4 linked regions of the Arabidopsis thaliana genome follow. The protein of the gene in region 1 interacts with the protein of each later gene in a biochemical or structural test. Each region holds a gene or a part of one and is shown in the gene's direction. Other genes may lie near its edges.

Region 1 (7,531 bases):
CAGCTGCAAGTAAATTAATCTCGTACCTTCAGGATAAGAAGTAAGACACTTGTTTGCTCTTCACTAGCAGCTTGACTTAACCATGTTGTAAGTATCAAAACCCCTCCTTTTGATAAAAACCTGTGGCACATATAGAAAATGACTGTCAAGACGGGAATATAATAACAATAAAATAAAATAAGACAGTGGGTGAAAGAGAACCCCCAACTAGTACCAGATCAGCACAGAAGCATCTTGTATCTGCATGATCCACTCCATTAGTTTCACCTGGCCTGAAAATGTTTCCTCTTTACGCAGCAGAGAAAATATATTCTCAACAAAGTATTTGTCTGAATCGCTGATGTCAGGTGGAATATCTTCAGGTGGAATAAGTGCCACTGTTTCACCTTCACCCCAGCTTATAGAACATGCCTCCGGATGTATAGAGTTCAAGGGAACGGGTTCAACATGATTTGTGGCATTGTTATTTTCCGGAACACCATCATCTTGTAAAGCATGCGTATTGGACATAACTACTTTCTCCCTTGAAAGCCTCACCTGTTTCCTCACTCTTGTCTTTTGAGTAACAAAAAATTCTCGAACCTGCCATTGAAGAAAATAATAAAGAGACAAACCAAAGTCTCATGAGTACCTCAACATGACAGATCTAAACTGACATGGAATTCTAAAAGCATGGCAAAAAAGAGTACATATCATGTAGAAGAACAATACCTGGGCGACTGTGATGCCAAATAAAGCACTTATCTCCCGAGATTCCCTCTTACTAATAGCATCTTTAATTGCGAAAACTGCTTGTAGATACTTAACAGCCTTAGGATTCAACAAGTCTCTTGGCCGCTTTCCTGAAATATTTACAAATTCATCAGATACTAGGCATCGAGCACGTAAAAGTTGGGTATGCCTTTAATGAACCTAGAGAGCAACAATGAATTGAAACATTCTCTGTGATATACGTAATTATGCCAAAAGATCTCACGAATCCTAAGATGACTCACCAATTTTAATGGACAAAGCACCAGCAGCCTGAAACAACAAAAAAATTAAACAGATTAATGTCTTTAACAGAGATGATTACTTGATCAGAGAAATGACATATAAACAGTTGAAGCATCACCATTACAGTTCACAGAAGAAACGGAGAGGTCGAGCTATATGAATTTATACCAAAAACACCTCTAATTTTTGCTAGACTCAATACCCTTCAAAGAATTTATTCCAAAATCCGAATGACCTGTCCCTCTCAGCTTTGCCCATATCACCATACCCCAATAAAACACGAACTTTAGATACCAAAAAACATAGAAACAATAACCCACCATTTCTTGCGCAAGGGGATTAACGCCGGTAAGTTTGCATTGCGCAACGACGACATCTTGGAGCTGATCGATCTGGCTATGAAAAAGCACCTTCTGCGAATCCAATAGCTCCATTAAAGACTCCACCGAGCTCCCGATTTCTATCTCCTCCTTGAACGCGTCCATGGCCGCCGACGGAAAACTCGAAGACCAATACGCAAACCGAATTCAAAATGTGCATCAGGGAATTAAACTGAAACGTAGGACTCAGTGATTCGAATGTGTTGAAACGATAAATTCAATGAACATGGTTACCTAATTTCGGATTGTCAAAAAGCCGATTCGGGTTAGGGTTTGAGTAAGGAAGGCAAAATAAAGGGGCATAAAAGTAAATAAGTTACTTTACAAAGAAAAATTATAAAACGCAGCGTCTTGATGTAGATCTCTGAAAAGGTAAGAAATTAAATTTGTTTAATATTATACTAATATATTAGTTGACATAAAATAAAAATAATTAAATCTATAAGACCTGAAAATAATAGAATAGAAGAGAACGAGTTTGTTTCCTGAGATATCTTTTCACCGCCCTTCTCATAGGTCTCGTCTCTCTTTCTCTCTATTTTACGCTTTTTTCCTGAACGATTCTTAGGGTTTTGATTCTCTCTCTCTCTCGCTTCTTTTTCGATCGCAGCAGCTCTCGCCGATCCTGTGTAATCGGGAATCGGTAATCGTCAGGGTCTGTTTGGGGTACGGCGACGCGATTTTCTGATTATTAGGGTTTAAGATCTCGAGGTATCACTATTTCTGTCGGATTCTCGCTTGTTTTGTTCCATACGACAGTTGATTTTTTTATCATTCTGTTGATTGTTCGTCTTTCTAGGTTTTTATTTGAATTTTTGTGGGATCGAGATTGTTAGGGTTACGTCGGAGTCTCTGGATTGCGTTTCTACTGTGTAATTTCGTGTTTATCTCATGGATTGATTGTTTCTCGAGTATATTCTGATGCTTATGTCCTCGTTTGCGCACAATCTGATAGTTTGGGTTTGATTTGGGTGATAATACTCGTTTCGCATTCGATAATGTGGGTGTTAACGTGTTATTATAACCTCTGAAGAATGATAAATATTGTTGACTCTCTCGCTTCAGTCATTTCATTGTGTTGCTTAATACTGCTGTTCTAAATTTTGGTTTTCTCCTTGTTCTTTGGTTAACTTAGGTTGAGGAGAGCTTGAAAAGTTGTTTGTCAACATGGAGCGCAAGACTATTGACTTGGAGCAAGGATGGGACTATATGCAGACTGGAATTACTAAGCTGAAACGGATTCTGGAAGGATTGAATGAGCCAGCATTTGACTCTGAGCAATATATGATGCTTTATACGTAGGTTTTATACTTGTTTATTACCTTATATAGCGGTTTGGCTGTTTGTCCTGATACTTATGATGGGGAATTTATTTGATTCTCAGGACTATCTACAACATGTGCACCCAGAAACCTCCTCATGATTACTCACAGCAGCTTTATGACAAGTATCGGGAAGCATTTGAGGAATATATTAACTCAACAGTGAGTCTGATTGATATTTAGTTTCTTTCTTATAAACTTCTCGTTTTTACTACCTCTGAATTTTAAGATGCCACTTTTGTGCATGGTTTCATATGTCAAGAAGTCCTGTCCCCTCTTGGTTTTAAGTTGATTCAAACGGTTTTGAATGTTTGCTCTCTTGTTGTCTGTGGTTAGGTTTTGCCTGCGTTGAGGGAGAAGCATGATGAGTTTATGCTGCGGGAGCTATTTAAAAGATGGTCAAACCATAAAGTAATGGTCAGATGGCTATCCCGCTTCTTCTACTACCTTGACCGTTACTTCATTGCTCGGAGATCACTTCCACCACTGAATGAAGTTGGCCTGACATGCTTCCGTGACCTGGTATGGCATTCATTCCTGTGGCTTTATAGCTTTCAGTTGTATTGAAATATTTTTAACTTTTCCTTGATTCTGTTCGCTTCAGGTTTATAATGAGCTACATTCTAAGGTCAAACAAGCTGTAATAGCTCTTGTAAGTATGGCGTCAATATTGTTGTGCAGTTACATCCAACTCTGGCTTTTGCCTGATTCAAGGTCTAACATGACCTGTTCTTCTGTCAGGTTGATAAAGAACGGGAGGGCGAGCAGATTGATAGGGCCCTGCTGAAAAACGTATTAGATATCTATGTAGAGATTGGAATGGGGCAGATGGAGAGGTATGAAGAAGATTTTGAAAGCTTCATGCTTCAAGATACTTCTTCGTATTATTCTCGCAAGGCATCAAGCTGGATTCAGGAAGATTCTTGCCCTGATTACATGTTGAAGGCATGACTCGTGATATCATTTTCTAAAATTTGTTTTTATTTCACAATAGTTGAAATTATTTATTAACTTCTGTGCTTTCATGTTACAGTCTGAAGAATGTCTAAAGAAGGAGAGGGAGAGAGTGGCTCACTACCTACACTCAAGCAGTGAGCCAAAGCTGGTTGAGGTTGGTTATTATGCACTATGTAATTATGCCTGTACTTGTAGGTTTGATGAAGAAACCATAGATCTTGCATAAGCCTTGATTTTGAATTTTGTTATTTGTATTGAGATACTTTCCAGACTCTTTTTAAATGCGTAGTCCAGGCATACTTGATTTTAAAGATTGATATCTGTTTGACTTGTATAGTAATCTTTTGTATGCAGAAAGTACAACATGAATTGCTGGTTGTGTTTGCAAGTCAGCTTCTAGAAAAAGAACACTCAGGGTGCCGTGCATTGCTAAGAGATGACAAGGTAGAGCAAGTATTTTTGTTTTTATTGTTGAGTAGTTAGTGACTTAATTATTTCTTTAATGGTTATATTTGTCTACTTTCAGGTGGATGATCTCTCCAGGATGTACAGGCTTTACCATAAAATTTTGCGAGGCTTGGAACCTGTTGCAAACATCTTTAAGCAGGTTTATTACCTATCTTCATTCTTTTGTTTATGATTAGCAAATGGATAGTCTTTTCTTCATGGTCTACTTGCAGTCTCTTAATTACTGTATGACATTAACTGTAACTTGTTATTCGTTCACAGCATGTCACAGCAGAGGGTAACGCTCTTGTCCAACAGGCCGAAGACACGGCTACTAATCAGGTTCATATTATCTTACTTGTTATATTCGGATAACTCTTCTTTCTTCGTTTGTGATTGCTAAGATCGTTTTTATTCCACAGGTTGCAAATACTGCTAGCGTCCAGGAACAGGTAAAATTATAAACCGATTGTAGTAAAGATATATTGGAAATTAGAGATTCATTTTTTTTGGGGATAAAATTGCTAACGATTCACTGTCCTTTCATTATTTCCAGGTTCTTATCAGAAAAGTGATTGAACTTCATGATAAATACATGGTATATGTCACCGAGTGTTTCCAGAACCACACCCTCTTCCATAAGGTCTAATGTTCTTTCTGCGCACTTGTCATTTGTCTATCTTATTCATGTTTATGTTGTGTTACTAACCTAAGTTTATGGAAACATATTTTAGGCTTTGAAAGAGGCATTTGAGATTTTTTGTAACAAAACGGTTGCTGGAAGTTCAAGTGCAGAACTACTTGCAACATTTTGCGACAATATTCTCAAAAAGGGGGGAAGTGAAAAGCTGAGTGATGAAGCTATCGAAGATACGCTTGAGAAGGTACTTTTGTCAAACTGTTTTTTCTTTTTCAAGTCTCCAAAGAGTGGTCCTGAATTTTATAATGTTGTTACAGGTTGTCAAATTGCTTGCATACATAAGTGACAAGGATCTTTTCGCTGAGTTCTACAGGTTTATCTCCAACTTCAATCTTTCTTTATCTGTGGATCGACTCTTTTTGCTTCTACTCTTTGTTTTTCTTGTAATGTTTTGTTTTTACTAGCTTTTTGTGGAGATGCCTTGCAACAATATACAATTTGATTGACATAAGTTGGATTACTGAGTTGCAAGCCATTTTGTTTATGGTTTTGATTGCAGGAAGAAGCTGGCCCGTAGGCTCTTATTTGATCGCAGTGCTAATGATGATCATGAGAGAAGTATCCTGACAAAGCTCAAGCAACAATGTGGTGGACAGTTTACTTCTAAGATGGAGGGCATGGTTAGTTTGAGTGTCCCTGTGTTTCTTATTTTAAAGCGGTGCGTGCTCTGATGACTTATGTTTTCTATATAATTTTAATCCGCTGGTGACAGGTGACGGATTTGACACTGGCAAGAGAAAACCAAAACAGTTTCGAGGATTATCTAGGCAGTAACCCTGCTGCAAACCCAGGGATTGACTTGACCGTCACTGTTCTTACCACTGGTTTCTGGCCAAGTTACAAATCATTTGACATAAATCTACCCAGTGAAATGGTAAAAACTCTATTGATTTTCTTACATACCTGAAAAGGAGATTGTTTGCTTCTGATAGATCTAATTCGTTGATTCTTTGTTTCAGATCAAGTGTGTTGAAGTCTTCAAAGGGTTTTATGAAACGAAAACGAAACACAGGAAGCTTACGTGGATCTATTCACTGGGAACTTGTCACATAAACGGGAAGTTTGATCAAAAGGCCATCGAGTTAATAGTGTCTACTTACCAGGTACTGTATGTTTCTCAGAAAATACTGATATATATTTTCTATCTGTAAACGGACTCTGATGCCACGTTCTCTGTCTCTATAGGCTGCTGTGCTTCTACTCTTTAACACAACTGACAAGTTAAGTTACACTGAGATCTTGGCTCAACTGAACCTAAGCCATGAAGATCTAGTTAGGTTGCTTCATTCCTTGTCATGTGCTAAGTACAAGATACTCCTTAAGGAGCCAAACACCAAGACTGTCTCCCAGAATGATGCCTTTGAGTTCAACTCCAAATTCACCGATAGAATGCGCAGAATCAAGGTTTGTGACGTTAATAGTAATACTCAAAAGTCTGCAAGTTTATGTCATGTTTTACATATTGTTAATAACTAACATCAACTTGGGTGATTTGCGTCACAGATCCCTCTTCCCCCAGTTGATGAAAGGAAGAAAGTCGTTGAAGATGTCGATAAAGACAGAAGATATGCAATTGATGCTGCCATTGTCAGGATCATGAAGAGCAGGAAAGTATTGGGACATCAACAACTTGTTTCTGAGTGTGTTGAGCAACTTAGCCGAATGTTCAAGGTAAATTATACATATAATTATATTTATACAGAGACATTTGAAGATGCACGTGGTGATGAAACTCATTGGATTTGTGATGTTTGTTGCAGCCTGATATCAAAGCGATCAAGAAGCGTATGGAGGATTTAATAACCAGAGATTATTTGGAGAGGGACAAGGAGAATCCTAACATGTTTAGGTACTTGGCTTAGGGCAAAAAAACAACAACTATGGAAGTGGTTGGCTCATGAAAGGAATCTGCTTGTATATTTAGAAGTCCATATGGAGACTGTCCTAAAACAAATTTATCGCTTCATTTTCGCTATTTTTCTCTTTTAAAAAATATTCGGTCTGTGCTTTTTTTTTGGGATGCAAATTTGCCTTGTGGATTTTTGTTTCTTAAATATTGAATGGAGATGGAGAAATGGCCTTAATGAATGAATCTCTGCTTTCTAATATATTTATCCTTGATCATATTATTTAAGTTTTATGTATCTCTGTGTTATATTGACGGATGGGAAAGTCGTAACAAATAATATGAGATTTCTTATAATCGAACGCTAATGAGACAAAGATGAACCGACGGAAGGTGCCTTCCTCAATCGCCGAACATTAAAAATCATTGTAATCATCTACGTCATTAGCTATAGTCCACCAGAACCGTAATAGTTTCTGCTTAGGACCAATGTCTTATATTTTAAGCCGTTTTTCTGTTGTATGATGATCTGAAATATTATTGGGATACAAAGACGGGTATGTTAAGGTTAATAACAATTTTGAACGGGTTAATGGTGGAGCTGGTGGATTATATTACTTGATTCCAATGTGCTTTTTTCTTTCTTTTTTGGGTTAATATGAATTATGAACGGATCATCAAAGACGATATTTGGAGCCTACACAGAGAATGATATATACGACATGGAGAAATTCTGTTCATATATGTTTTGAGGTGCGGAGTCATTTTACTCCATCGAGCAAATGTTTCTCACTTTTTATTTGCTTGAGATTCTGTTAAACAAACAAAGAATCATGCCATTGCACTATGATGAAAAAGCTGCGAGGAGATGTGCAAATTATAA
Region 2 (3,985 bases), on another chromosome or scaffold:
ATATTGCAAATGGCAAATGTTTTTACAATTCTCAAGTCTTACTTCGTTTTTTTTGCTTGAAACACAGATACCATGAAGCCGGTCGCCTTTCTGATCAACAAATGGCTCTACTGCAATATCAACGCGAGAATCTCCATTATCTCAGTGAAGAGGTGACAATCCATGGAATATTTATCATGAGTACTTCATTTCTGAATCTTGATGCTTGTGATGTTTCTTACTAGTAATTCTAAGTTCAATGCTCTCTCTAGCTCTTCATTGTCTACCCTAATTTTCTGAATTTTCCCATGCTTTCGTTAGAGTGAGTCTCTGACCTCTCTTGTTTTGTTTCAGATTCTGCGTTTGCAGGAGTCCTTAAGTAAATATGAAACGAATGGTAGTAGCACGCCTCAGGTTTGAACTGCTCCATTCTGAATTTTTGACTTCTTTTTATCAGCGTGTACACATTCTAACAACATTCTTAATAAATTTTCTTAAAAGTAATGTATAACTTTTTCCTTCCACTGGGATTTTAATTTTTGCATTTGATAAATGTTAAACTTTCAGGTTGATCTGGCGCATCTTGTGGCAACTCGAGATCAGGAATTACGAACACTATCTGCTGAGGTAAAGCTCGGTTAACAAATGATAAACTTGCAAATTCCCATGGTTAATTTTTCTTTCTCATCTCTCTTTTACCCATTTGGTGGAAAACATATCATAGTTGATTGACATTTCAAGGCTAGTATCCTTGATGTAGCATCTTTAAATGAAAATTGTGTGTCTTGCAGGTGGATCAACTCCATTCAGAGCTTAATCTCGCTCGATCTCTGATCTCTGAGAGAGATAGAGAGATACAACACGTCCGGAATACCAATAATCAGGTTCGAGTCTATCTATAAACATAAGAACATATGAGAACAAAACATACTTTCACAGCATCACATCATGTTTATCATCAACACAGCTTTACCATGAATTGTTTTTGCATCAAACAATTTGCAAGGGCTACACATTTTTTCTGATCCCTGAACTCATCATCTTTTGTTTTTGAAACTCCTGAAACAGTATGTAGCAGAAAATGAAAGGTTAAGAGCTATTCTTGGAGAATGGAGTATGCGAGCTGCAAAGGTACAATCTTCTCTTCTCTCTCTCTCTCTTCATTGTATGTTTTAGAGATGCAGCAATATGATAGTGAAAAATCTTAAGCCAATATCGAGTTTATCGAATTCAAACCCTTTTGTTTACTATGAGAGGCTAAACCAAAACCAACGGATTGTGTAGCTTGAACGAGCTCTGGAGGTGGAGAGAATATCAAATATTGAACTGCGGAAGAAAGTTTCAGCTCTCAGAGACCAGAGGCAGGTGGCATGAAGCATATACATCATCTAACTATATGCAACTCTTATGGCTTGTAGAAAAATATCTTGACACTATTTTCTAACATCTTGATGCATTGAATACGCTAAGCTTTTATGATGTAATGATTTTCCAGTTAATTTGAACTAAGCGTATGTAATGATTAGTTAATTAGTCATATAGTTATTGTAAATCTTCTGGGAATAGTTAGAAAAAAATATATATATATGTTTTTTTTATTATATAAAATAGATATTTTCCGTAATCTTTTTGCTTAAAAATATTTAATTTATCAATTAAATAAATAAAAATCGTTGGGATAATAAAGGAAAAATTAAAATATTTATGTAAATCGTAGGATGAGTAAGATTAAAAAAAGGAAACCTTAAACCGAATTATGGAAATTTACGGGAATCTAATTCCGACGAAAGCCCACTATACAGGCAAAGCCCAAAGCTGCTTTATATATCTCTCTTCTTCTTCCTCTACAATCTCTCTCTACAACAAAATCAGCGACAGCTCAAACGTTGATATTTTTCTCCGGCTTTTCTAGGGTTTAAATTTTCTTTCCGATCAGAGATTAATGGCGACTCTAGACTCCGACGTTACCATGATTCCTGCCGGAGAAGCCTCCAGCAGCGTAGCCGCGTCGTCTTCCAACAAGAAAGCTAAGCGATTCGAAATTAAGAAGTGGAGCGCCGTTGCTCTCTGGGCTTGGGGTAACCTCGAAAATCCTTATACACTATCTTCAATTGGTCTTTCGATGTTTCGATGTTTGTGTTACGATGTTAATTTTTGGTTAGGTTAAGAGTTTTATTGATTGATTGATCTTTGTTTTGGTTGCAGATATCGTTGTTGACAACTGTGCGATCTGCAGAAACCACATCATGGATCTTTGTAAGTCTTAAAACAATCGATTGATTTTGGAATTTGTAACGATGATGTTGAATGTTTATGCTTATTTCGTTTTTGTGTTTTGGTTTGTTGTTAGGTATCGAGTGTCAGGCTAATCAGGCCAGTGCCACAAGTGAAGAGTGCACTGTAGCTTGGGGTAAGCATTTTTCTTCTTCTATGATCATGATCTCAATCGTTGCTTTTTGTTTGGAAACTTGATTTGGTTTATAATTGTAGCTATCGTAATTGTGAATCTAGAAACACAAAACTGTATGCGAAAGTGTTGTGTGAAACAATTTTAGTATCTCTGAGTGCGTGTTTTAAAACTTGACATTGAATTTTACTTATGTGGTAGTATCACTCTGATAGATGTCTTTGCTTTATTTGAGAGCAGACCCTGTTCCTTGTTTTGCAGCAATCTAGATTGGTCGATGAGTAGTACAGTTGATTAGATTTATGGAGTTTTAAAGATTTTCTGAGAGAGAGAGAGACCAAATTGTAGTTATTGTGTTTACATGCTTTCATAGTCTTGCAGTTGATTGTACGATTGATGATGAATTAAAAACTCAGAGGACGACCAAAATAACTGCAATAAGTATTTCTGTATTCTTGATTGCTCAATGAAAGATGACCACTTGGAGGGTGAATCTTGTTAGCTAGGAAGTATTAGAGAAAGTAGGAAGTATTCCTTTAAGATGTATGTGATTGTGTGATGACCTTTTCGAATCTTTTTTCTATAATGTGACAACTCAAGTGGATATACATAAATTATTTAGTGCCTTCCCTAACGAAAGATACTCAATATGTACTTGCAGGGGTTTGCAATCACGCCTTCCACTTTCACTGCATCAGCAGATGGCTAAAGACTCGTCAAGTTTGTCCATTGGGTATGTGTTTCTTGGTTTTAAGCTTCTTGACTAGTATGCAGTTTTTGTTTGTTTGCTAATATTGCTGAGTTGTTTCAACAGATAACAGTGAGTGGGAGTTTCAGAAATATGGTCACTAAATCAACAAATGGTTCCAGCAAGCATGTGTCTAATCGTGAAGACATCAGGTTCATTTGGTTACCACCGCATATGATAACTAAAGATTGTTCAAGTTTTTGCCCTTTTTTTGGTACTGTATTTTACAATTTGTGGAAACAGAGATTTACTGTTCAGTGTTCACTAAACCTATTATGGTTGTGCTTTGGGTGACGTCTTTGATTTCAAAATTAAAAAGTAAAAATCCTGCAAAGAGTTTTTTACTCGTAAAAAAACATAGGAGCTGGGTACCAAACGCTCTTTTGATCCTCAATTGTGTTTTCCTTCAATTTAGTAGTTCCAAATACTAAAGTGAAATTTCTAATAAGGCTAACTCGAAACCCACTTAGATTATAAACCATAAGTTTTATTAAATGGGTCTTTCAACCCCTAAACAAACAATACTAGAGCATTATTTTGACAACACAGATTCTTAAGAGAAACAGTAAAAACTGACCACTTGAACACAACATCGAGGATCAGAAGAGCGTGTACATGGGCGTCGTCTCAGTAAGGATCGTATAACCCAAAATGCTGATAGATTCCAACTGGCTTCTGGTTCTCATTGTACGTCTCAAATATATACGCATCAATTCTACTATTTGGCCTCTTAGGCGTTCCTTTACCACTTGCAACATGCTTCACAAAGTTACCAATGTACGTATATTGAAGAGCCGGTGTCGTCATGCCTCCATTCCCGGCAGAGGGCCACCCGGTCTCCGACACCACCA
Region 3 (5,661 bases), on another chromosome or scaffold:
CTCTACGTATCTCCTCTAGAGATAAATCAAAGGGACACAGTGAAGGCCATTTCTCAATCTTTGATAATTCATCCATTACCTCTATCCCCACCAATGTAGAGGGTTTTATCCAGTCAGAAGGAGAAGTTGAAGAAGCTACTGAGAATTATAATGGAATCAGACAAATTATTGCTTTTGAAGAAGCAGAGTCAACACCAAGTACAATGACCGGACCTCCCCCATTTCCTTTGAAGATGGGTCCACCAGTCTTTTCTCCTTATTATTGCTGGTGCCCTCCAACCACTTCATCGCTTCACGCACCATCTGCCTCTTATCAGTTCCCTCCACTATCCATTGAGCTACCTTCCCTTCCGCCACTTTCCTCCTTATTACCAGCATCGGGATCAGATGGATTCTTGATCCCGTCATCACCGCTCGATCTCTCTGACATCCCTCCATTACCATTAGTCCACCACATACCCATTCCAGGCTCATCATCATCATCATCCCAGCAACAGATGATGATTCCTATAATGTGCGACCCTATTGTTCATATTCCAGTTATCGATATCTTCTCTTCAGGTCAAAGCTATCTGGTAAGCGCTGGACCCACCGGGATAATATCCACGGGCATCCCTCCGCTCCCAGTGGAGAATGATTCGCTGGTCGAGAAAGGTGCAAGAGAAACACTACGATTGCTCATAAGCGGAGCCAATGCAACAACATCTACACCTTTGAACCATCATGGAAGCAGAGGTCTATACAGTGTGAGCCGGGATGTGAGTGGTGTGAGCTTGTTTGCACCTATTGGGTTGCAACAACCGAGTTCAGTTGAGGGAGGAGATGGTGGTGGTGAGAGTGTGAGCTCAAGCGAAGCAGTGCCTGCGCCTCCCAGAGAGACTTCTGGTTAATTTTTTTGGTTCTTTGTAAGTGTGGTCCGAGTTAAGTGTATAGAAAACTCATCTCTCGCCTAGTTTTTGGTTTTGTTCAGCCCAAGTCTTTTGGTTTCAGGTGTAATTAGTCGGGTTTTTTGTAGCTTGCTTATATTACCTTTGTTATTTCCGAGTTTCAAATGAAGCTAAGAAATACGATCATAATAAAAAAGTTCTTTTGCAGTATTCATTTTCTTTCATGGTTCCCTCCTTATTCATAGTCATTGTTGTTCTTTCTAATACTTTTCCTGAGCTTTTTTTTTCTATTGGAAAAACTTTTGTCACTGAAAGAAATTTCAATGTGATTGGTTCTTTTCGCAACTGTAATAAGCACTAAAAGTTAATAATTTGCTGCTTTTTAAGTCTTGTTGCTGAATGATTTAATCCCAAAGACGTTAAAAAAAAGACATGTAAATAGTCTTTGTTCCAAAAGTACCATTTTGAGCGCTTTCTTTCGACAATTGATGTTGAACTTGTACCAAATAAACCTTGAAAATCATACATCATTAAATGTAGTTTTTTGTTATATACTTATATTCATATGGTCCATAATATATAGTTAACCATATTATGGACCATATAAATTCATGCAGTCAACAACTTTTTTTTTCCTCATTAAAAGCTACTAATACTGTAGAAAATTTTTATCTTACAAAAGAAAGGAGAATTATTGTATTTTTATTTTAATCACATATAAAGCAACCAAAGATAACATATACTAGTATTTAGTATTTTTAAATTTTTTGCTTAGGATTCAGGTTATTAATACTCTATAAAGAAATAATTAAATCTATCCATCGAATAAATCACACAGCTTATTGGATCAGTTAAATATTCTAATAATATTGTCGTGTAGCTGAGATCTGACCACTGCAAAAATGAAAAGAAAAACATAGAAGTAGAGAGAAGATCGCATCTCGACCGTCAACTTCAGTGTATGAAATAATGATCGTCCCACTTGATCCTCAAAAATATTATTAACCAAACAAAATTTGATTCCATCGTCCCACTTTCTTCTTCTTCCTCCCAATCCGCCTCTTCTTCCTACGCGTGTCTTCTTCTCCCTCACTCTCTCAATCTCTAGTCTTCTCCGATTCACCGGATCTTTCCTTTCTTACTTCTTTCTTCTCACTCTGGTGGTTATGTGTGGATCTGCGACCTCGATTTCAATTCGAAGTCGTCGGTTTCTTCTCTAAATCGAATCTTTCCAGGATTCGTTTGTTTTTTTCTTTTGTTTTTTTTTCGATCCGATGGAGGATCCTGATATCAAGAGGTGTAAATTGAGCTGCGTCGCGACGGTTGATGATGTCATCGAGCAAGTCATGACCTATATAACTGACCCGAAAGATCGCGATTCGGCTTCTTTGGTGTGTCGGAGATGGTTCAAGATTGATTCCGAGACGAGAGAGCATGTGACTATGGCGCTTTGCTACACTGCGACGCCTGATCGTCTTAGCCGTCGATTCCCGAACTTGAGGTCGCTCAAGCTTAAAGGCAAGCCTAGAGCAGCTATGTTTAATCTGATCCCTGAGAACTGGGGAGGTTATGTTACTCCTTGGGTTACTGAGATTTCTAACAACCTTAGGCAGCTCAAATCGGTGCACTTCCGACGGATGATTGTCAGTGACTTAGATCTAGATCGTTTAGCTAAAGCTAGAGCAGATGATCTTGAGACTTTGAAGCTAGACAAGTGTTCTGGTTTTACTACTGATGGACTTTTGAGCATCGTTACACACTGCAGGTACACTTACTTCTCAGTATCTTGTAGCTACTTTGGCTCGATGCTTTTGAGGTTTAGCGACTCCTTATCATTTCCTACTTTGACTAGAACTCTAGATGCATTTGGCTCTTTTTAAAAAACTTAATAAGTCGTCGTTGTACAAAGAACCATATCTTGAGTTTGTGTTTGTAAAGATTTGATCTTCTTTAGCTCAATTGGGTAAGTTGTAACTTTGGTGGATACTTTTTGTCCTTAATGAAATTGGTGAACCTTACTTCATTTGATTTCTTAGTACACTTTACACTAAGAGTAATATAAGCAGAAACATTTATTTCAGAAAGTTTCAGTATTTAGGCGTTCATGTTTGTCTTATATCCTTAATTGCTTTGCAACTGTTATGCTTGCTATTAAAGCAGAAATTGCAATGATCTTCAGTTATTTCTCAATTGGGGAAGTATAAACTTTGATCCGGATTTTATCTACAACCAATTTTTTCCCTCTTTGGGGAACATTCACTTTGTTTATGCATAAATAGCAAAAAGATTGATTTCTGACATCTTCAGTCTGCCAGAGTTTATGTGTATTATTTGGTTTTTGAATCCTTGATTCGGCTGCTGCTGTTCTTCATATTCAGTTTTAGCGGGAAATCCAAATATCTTGAGTTGTTTCTCACTTTATTCATGCAACTGTCTGTTGTCTTGTCCAGGAAAATAAAAACTTTGTTAATGGAAGAGAGTTCTTTTAGTGAAAAGGATGGTAAGTGGCTTCATGAGCTTGCTCAGCACAACACATCTCTTGAGGTTTTAAACTTCTACATGACGGAGTTTGCCAAAATCAGTCCCAAAGACTTGGAAACCATAGCTAGAAATTGCCGCTCTCTGGTATCTGTGAAGGTCGGTGACTTTGAGATTTTGGAACTAGTTGGGTTCTTTAAGGCTGCAGCTAATCTTGAAGAATTTTGTGGTGGCTCCTTGAATGAGGATATTGGAATGCCTGAGAAGTACATGAATCTGGTTTTTCCCCGAAAACTATGTCGGCTTGGTCTCTCTTACATGGGACCTAATGAAATGCCAATACTATTTCCATTCGCGGCCCAAATCCGAAAGCTGGATTTGCTTTATGCATTGCTAGAAACTGAAGACCATTGTACGCTTATCCAAAAGTGTCCTAATTTGGAAGTTCTCGAGGTAAACGTTTAACTTTGCTGTCTTTACTACATACTTGGGAATGCGTCCTTAGTACTAAATTGTGTTCCTATTTTTTCACGAAATATTTGGGGAGATAAGGGATATGAATGCAATATTGGTTCTCTTTAGTCTTTACATCTATATAAGACTGACAACACTTGTTGTTTTTCTTCAGACAAGGAATGTAATCGGAGATAGGGGTCTAGAGGTCCTTGCACAGTACTGTAAGCAGTTGAAGCGGCTGAGGATTGAACGCGGTGCAGATGAACAAGGAATGGAGGACGAAGAAGGCTTAGTCTCACAAAGAGGATTAATCGCTTTGGCTCAGGGCTGCCAGGAGCTAGAATACATGGCGGTGTATGTCTCAGATATAACTAACGAATCTCTTGAAAGCATAGGCACATATCTGAAAAACCTCTGTGACTTCCGCCTTGTCTTACTCGACCGGGAAGAAAGGATTACAGATCTGCCACTGGACAACGGAGTCCGATCTCTTTTGATTGGATGCAAGAAACTCAGACGATTTGCATTCTATCTGAGACAAGGCGGCTTAACCGACTTGGGCTTAAGCTACATCGGACAGTACAGTCCAAACGTGAGATGGATGCTGCTGGGTTACGTAGGTGAATCAGATGAAGGTTTAATGGAATTCTCAAGAGGCTGTCCAAATCTACAGAAGCTAGAGATGAGAGGTTGTTGCTTCAGTGAGCGAGCAATCGCTGCAGCGGTTACAAAATTGCCTTCACTGAGATACTTGTGGGTACAAGGTTACAGAGCATCGATGACGGGACAAGATCTAATGCAGATGGCTAGACCGTACTGGAACATCGAGCTGATTCCATCAAGAAGAGTCCCGGAAGTGAATCAACAAGGAGAGATAAGAGAGATGGAGCATCCGGCTCATATATTGGCTTACTACTCTCTGGCTGGCCAGAGAACAGATTGTCCAACAACTGTTAGAGTCCTGAAGGAGCCAATATGATATGACCCAAAAAACAGGTTTGTATATAAAGATTTTTAGTCTCGAGTTTTGGGGTTTCCACAAACTGTGTACTATACTACTTTGGTTCTTTTTTTGTTTCATGTTGTGTCGTCGATGTTTTTGGGAGATTACATAGAGTCAGTCTTGTTTGTTGTATGGTCATTACTTCTTTATTTTTCCTCAGGGGTCTGTTTACTTTAATTTCTTTAATAAAACCCCGAAGATTTTGAGAGATTTCTTTATCGTCCATGGTGTTGACTTCTGAGAGCTATATTTGTTTGGATTGGCATCTGAAACTTTATTTGTGGTTGTGATTGTTTTGATAACATTAGTAAAAAGGCAAATAATAGAGTACTAATAATCATTTATAACTTTATAGATGAAAACTTTGATTTCTTGTTCTTACACGAATTCTGAAAACGATGTAACAAGCTTTTGATTGGATTAACAGACGATAAAGGAATCTATTAACAATGAGTGGGCATATCTGAAGCCGACCAAAGGTACCCCATTCAGATTCTTCTAACCATAAAAGGAACCTTTACTATAATACATTATATAGGTAACGAAATAGTTGTCTGTATATGCATCTCATTCACATTTGAGAAGATTCCTTCATATGTTGTGATTTTGTCTAATACGCTTTTGGAGGAATCACGCAAACTCAGGGGTCTTTAATTGGTGAAAGAAGGAGAATGATGGATGAGTAACTGAGCATTGGGTACACATTTGCATCTAAGAAGTGCCTATACTGCTTCATCGCCGTTTCTCTCTCTGGGAGATCCGGTGTTATGCAGTCGTAAGGGCTCGGTTTGCTCGTGTCTACAAATGGCTCCCATCGGTATCCTGGCCTATTCGGTA
Region 4 (4,754 bases), on another chromosome or scaffold:
ATCGATGTCAGTCTTCACTCAGTGTCCTCACTAAGAACATGTACCTAGACCAATTAATAGATTCTCTGTTTATATACCACAAATGTCTATGCTTATTAATGAGTAGTACTATTCTTTTATTTTTAATTTTTTAGTAAGACACATTTAATAACCAAGATGATACAGAGAAAACGGGAGACCGTAAACAATTAAAATAATATACGTGACTTGTATAGTTGTATTGCTTGACACAAACTAATTAGAATGTTGACCAAATTTGGTTAACGGAATTTCACCGCCCAATTCCACTTGCTTTATATGCGATGAACAGTTGACCAGAGGAGACAAAGTGTAACAAATAGGCTATTAACAAAACATAGAAGTAATTAATACATTCATAGTTTATATATAGACATGTTGTGAGAACTTATTCTTTTCTTCTTTAACAAACAATCTGAATTCGTTTCATACTATATAAGTATTATATACTACCTAGTTATATGCTAGCTTTGTATTGACTCATAGAGTCATAGTACAAATGCTAAAATACTAAAGCTACACAGAGTGGTAGAACCAGCTGAAATATGTTTAAAACTACATGACCTAACCCAACCATTACAAATTTATAAACAAACTACATCCTGAAACTCCAGAATAGACGATGTAGCTCACTATGAACTATAATGTATGTTTAATGTCAGAACCAAATAAATTTAAAAAAAATGTCAGAACCGTACGAGAAGAACAAACAAAACTTTTTGTAGTTTGTTTGTATATATTTCTAAGTAAAAATGCTGAACACAATTATACAACCAATATATGTGATCTAATGTGCTATTTAGGAAAATTTGTCGATGATAAGTACTACGTCAGAGTCAAAAGACCCATATTGGTTTAGTCCGACTATTAGATACGAAAAGTCAAGCAAACATTACATGTAAATTTTGGTAAGATGTGAGAGATATATATGTCTTTTTTTTTATTTTTTGATAACAAAGATGATGCTAAAATACTTTTAGATCCAAACACCAATTATGAGATTCGGAAAAACTAATGTTAGAATTCGAACCATGATGGCCAATATTACATGAACTCAAGTGGCAAATTTTTTCACTCTTTTACTATTGGAGCAAGATGACTTGGTTATGTAAGAGATATGTTGCTCTCAATATTCTCATAGATCATCTCTTTCTTCAAATTGGTAAGATATGAGAAATATGTCCCATCTTTTTATTATCATACCAAAGTCTTTTATAAAATATATCATATATGTATATATATATATTGTCAAGAATAACTTGACTTCATACATACTATTTGAATTCGGATAGTATCACAAAACATCACTACCACGTAACTGTTGGAACTTCAATTTTACAAAGTATTTCCGGCTAACTTTTCGGCGAGTTTTTCAGTGAAGTTTGTCACAAAAATAAGAATGATCATATTTTTGGAATCTTTGTAATCGTTTTCAAAGTTTTCTCTCCGGATTTTCGCGGTTCTACAATAATTACATTACATATCATGATCAATATGTGACCTGATCCTCGTAGTTAATTAAAACATAATTTCCCGGTCACCATTCAAAACTTTCTAGATGGAAGATTAACAAAACAAAATTATCTTAGCTTAATTTTGTAGTAACAGAGAAGAAATGATTAACTAACATCTAATCAAGCCCACGTGTCATAAACCCCACCAATGAAGAAAAAAGAGCAAAAGACATGCACATGCAATTACACGAATACATACACCCCACCACCATCCTCCCTCCTTATATTATTATTGCCCCTTCCTCTCCTTTCTTCTTCCCCTCTTACCTTTTCAGAGAGAGAAACAATATTTCTAATCTATTACAAGTAACATGATCGGCCAACTTATGAACCTCAAGGCCACGGAGCTCTGTCTCGGCCTCCCCGGCGGCGCTGAAGCAGTTGAGAGTCCTGCCAAATCGGCGGTGGGAAGCAAGAGAGGCTTCTCCGAAACCGTTGATCTCATGCTCAATCTTCAATCTAACAAAGAAGGCTCCGTTGATCTCAAAAACGTTTCTGCTGTTCCCAAGGAGAAGACTACCCTTAAAGATCCTTCTAAGCCTCCTGCTAAGTAAGCTACACATTTACATATATATATATTCTTAGATTTTTTTTTTTTTTGGTTAAAAAGTTCTTAGTTTTTTCCAGTCCATATATATACATATATACGTGTTTATACACATCTATGTCTAAGTTCTTAGAATATTCGAATATATATAAATTTCATAGTTATATGTCCTCGCAGAACATAAATATTGTGAGGGATTTACATAAACATATGAATAAACTAAAAATTCTTGAAATTTGTAATGTTAGTTATATATATATATATATATATATATATATATATATATATACTTCCCATATACATTACCTTTTTTTGTTAAAATTTATATGCATAACTTTGATTCTTTGAAGTTATATTTGTTTTCTATCAATATAATACTAAGAAATAATATAATAATAATTAAAGCGTGGTTGAAACTTAAACACCAATACATACATGCGTACAAGCAAACATGAAATAATACATGTTATAACTTACAATCAAGCCCATAAAGGCAGTAATGGTAACTAATAATTACATTGGTTGATATACACCTATCTAAATAATGTTGTTCTATGTAGAGCACAAGTGGTGGGATGGCCACCTGTGAGGAACTACAGGAAGAACATGATGACTCAGCAGAAGACCAGTAGTGGTGCGGAGGAGGCCAGCAGTGAGAAGGCCGGGAACTTTGGTGGAGGAGCAGCCGGAGCCGGCTTGGTGAAGGTCTCCATGGACGGTGCTCCATATCTGAGGAAAGTTGACCTCAAGATGTACAAAAGCTACCAGGATCTTTCTGATGCATTGGCCAAAATGTTCAGCTCCTTTACTATGGGTACGTATTAGAAATTTCAAATCGGAAAGTGTGAAAAAACTATATTCGTATATTAAAGTATATCATTTACTACATTTATTCATACAAAACTCATGAACCTTACCGAGTTAGAGTCATAGAACTATACATTCGAACCCTATACATATTAACAAGATGAGATTTTGCTAAATGTATACAACTTAAATATGTATTATATATATTACACAATAATGACACATAAATTTATATGATTTTTGAATGTCTTGAATATCTTCAAGGAAACTATGGAGCACAAGGAATGATAGATTTCATGAACGAGAGCAAGCTAATGAATCTGCTGAATAGCTCTGAGTATGTGCCAAGCTACGAGGACAAAGATGGTGACTGGATGCTCGTTGGCGATGTCCCATGGGAGTGAGTCAAATTTAATCGTTTCATATACTTTTTTTTATAACTTATAACTTGACTCGTTAACCACATTTCCCGAAATTGGTAGAGACAAAGCCAAAGATATTCAACATCCATGTGTTATAAATACGTACAACCATGCATTGGTTGGCAAGAGACAAGAGGATCTTTCAAAAATTATACAATAGTATCGATATGTTTAGAGCTCATTCGTAGCTGGCACATCATCATATTATTGCCAAAAACCTTAGAATAAACTTTAAATGTTAACGACTCATATTCTAATGTTCTAACCGTAAACTTGAATACCTATTTCAGAATGTTTGTCGAGTCTTGCAAACGTTTGCGCATTATGAAGGGATCTGAAGCAGTTGGACTTGGTACATCTCTAACTTTTTTTTTTTTTTTTTGTTTTTCAATTTTTACCAATTTTCTTTTTATTTTAATATAATTCTGTTTTCTTGGTTATAGCTCCGAGAGCAATGGAGAAGTACTGCAAGAACAGATCTTGAATTAATAATAAAAAAAAAGAAGCATCAATGATCAACAATATGACGGGTTCTTGATTTTATATGTATTTTTATGATTGTATGTGGCTATCACCTATATATGTGTGTTGTAATTTTAAATACTTGATGGGTATATAGGGCAGTATTTTACCAGTAAGATGTGGACAAACTTGTAATGTGACCAAAAGAGAGGAAACTTCAATATCTCTGTGTTTGTGTCATATTTATTGCCCAACATGTGTCTGTCGGTTTGATGATCAATCACAACTTGATATGTGCATACATATAAATGTGTGTATGTAGGTGTGTGTACATGTACATGTGTTTTGATCCCTACTCTGCTACTTGTCGTTTCTTGTGTGTGTTATCTAATAGTTTTTTCCCAAAATGAATAATTCGTTGTTATGTTTACTATTTTACCAATAAAATCTTAGCTTTTTAATTCTACTCTCTAACCATTACTAGCGTTTTTTAGTTTTAAAAACTCTGATTATGTATTGACTTTTAGATGAAGTCTTTAATGAACAATTGAACATATCCTACAACCCACAAAAAAAATAAGAAGTAGAATTTAAAGTTGGTTTGTTGTCATTTCATCATAAATTGTGTATCCTAATTTTTTGGGACATGTGGTCCGTAATCTGTCATATTTTAAACTAACTGATGATTATATGTGTAGCGGCTTTACAAGATTAATTTAGTCATCATTTCAAAAATATGTTGAAATCAATATAATTTGTTTTCATTATTAAAAAAAAAGTGAGTAAGATACAGTTACAAAAGAGGATATAAAAGTTTTAATATTCGGATGTTTGTTACTCACTTACAATTTGTTACGACTTGCGAGTTATTGATGGTTCTTACTGGTGGATGGATGATGGATCATTAGATATATATATTGTATTCATATTATAGATTAATAATCTCATATAAATTATGTAAGTCGTTGATGCCTCCAAATAGTA

What was found.
Region 2: the proteins of CUL1 (region 1) and RBX1 form a complex in vitro, tested with the Arabidopsis thaliana proteins (2 studies listed by BioGRID).
Region 3: the proteins of CUL1 (region 1) and COI1 form a complex in vitro, tested with the Arabidopsis thaliana proteins (one study listed by BioGRID).
Region 4: the proteins of CUL1 (region 1) and IAA7 form a complex in vitro, tested with the Arabidopsis thaliana proteins (2 studies listed by BioGRID).

Annotation. Positions count from the first base shown.
Region 1 is NC_003075.7:1,126,772-1,134,302, forward strand, and holds CUL1 (cullin 1), read left to right. Parts: upstream 1-1,743; 5' UTR 1,744-1,892; exon of another isoform or gene 1,893-1,986; 5' UTR 1,987-2,042; exon of another isoform or gene 2,043-2,087; intron 2,088-2,511; 5' UTR 2,512-2,543; coding exon 2,544-2,674; intron 2,675-2,760; coding exon 2,761-2,860; intron 2,861-3,034; coding exon 3,035-3,220; intron 3,221-3,302; coding exon 3,303-3,350; intron 3,351-3,439; coding exon 3,440-3,643; intron 3,644-3,731; coding exon 3,732-3,809; intron 3,810-4,009; coding exon 4,010-4,099; intron 4,100-4,181; coding exon 4,182-4,262; intron 4,263-4,384; coding exon 4,385-4,444; intron 4,445-4,524; coding exon 4,525-4,554; intron 4,555-4,658; coding exon 4,659-4,745; intron 4,746-4,836; coding exon 4,837-4,986; intron 4,987-5,059; coding exon 5,060-5,115; intron 5,116-5,301; coding exon 5,302-5,422; intron 5,423-5,514; coding exon 5,515-5,676; intron 5,677-5,761; coding exon 5,762-5,905; intron 5,906-5,987; coding exon 5,988-6,206; and 6 more. Other genes in the region: LD (Homeodomain-like superfamily protein), read right to left, coding at 27-120, 215-582, 712-842, 996-1,023, 1,317-1,481.
Region 2 is NC_003076.8:6,956,158-6,960,142, reverse strand, and holds RBX1 (RING-box 1), read left to right. Parts: upstream 1-1,831; 5' UTR 1,832-1,921; coding exon 1,922-2,057; coding exon of another isoform or gene 2,058-2,111; intron 2,112-2,184; coding exon 2,185-2,235; intron 2,236-2,329; coding exon 2,330-2,389; intron 2,390-2,802; coding exon 2,803-2,874; intron 2,875-3,047; coding exon 3,048-3,119; intron 3,120-3,200; coding exon 3,201-3,238; 3' UTR 3,239-3,483; downstream 3,484-3,985. Other genes in the region: AT5G20580 (TMEM192 family protein), read left to right, coding at 68-152, 334-393, 547-606, 771-863, 1,048-1,110, 1,264-1,353; AT5G20560 (Glycosyl hydrolase superfamily protein), read right to left, coding at 3,762-3,985. UniProt on the Arabidopsis thaliana protein: Component of the SCF (SKP1-CUL1-F-box protein) E3 ubiquitin ligase complex, which mediates the ubiquitination and subsequent proteasomal degradation of target proteins.
Region 3 is NC_003071.7:16,671,987-16,677,647, reverse strand, and holds COI1 (RNI-like superfamily protein), read left to right. Parts: upstream 1-1,783; 5' UTR 1,784-2,161; coding exon 2,162-2,652; intron 2,653-3,337; coding exon 3,338-3,818; intron 3,819-3,993; coding exon 3,994-4,800; 3' UTR 4,801-5,155; downstream 5,156-5,661. Other genes in the region: AT2G39950 (flocculation protein), read left to right, coding at 1-890; ISA1 (isoamylase 1), read right to left, coding at 5,465-5,661. UniProt on the Arabidopsis thaliana protein: Required for jasmonate-regulated plant fertility and defense processes, and for coronatine and/or other elicitors perceptions/responses. Seems to not be required for meiosis. Required for the regulation of some genes induced by wounding, but not for all.
Region 4 is NC_003074.8:8,192,925-8,197,678, forward strand, and holds IAA7 (indole-3-acetic acid 7), read left to right. Parts: upstream 1-1,681; 5' UTR 1,682-1,843; coding exon 1,844-2,082; intron 2,083-2,639; coding exon 2,640-2,893; coding exon of another isoform or gene 2,894-2,904; exon of another isoform or gene 2,905-3,150; coding exon 3,151-3,286; coding exon of another isoform or gene 3,287-3,290; exon of another isoform or gene 3,291-3,598; coding exon 3,599-3,660; intron 3,661-3,751; coding exon 3,752-3,792; 3' UTR 3,793-4,231; downstream 4,232-4,754.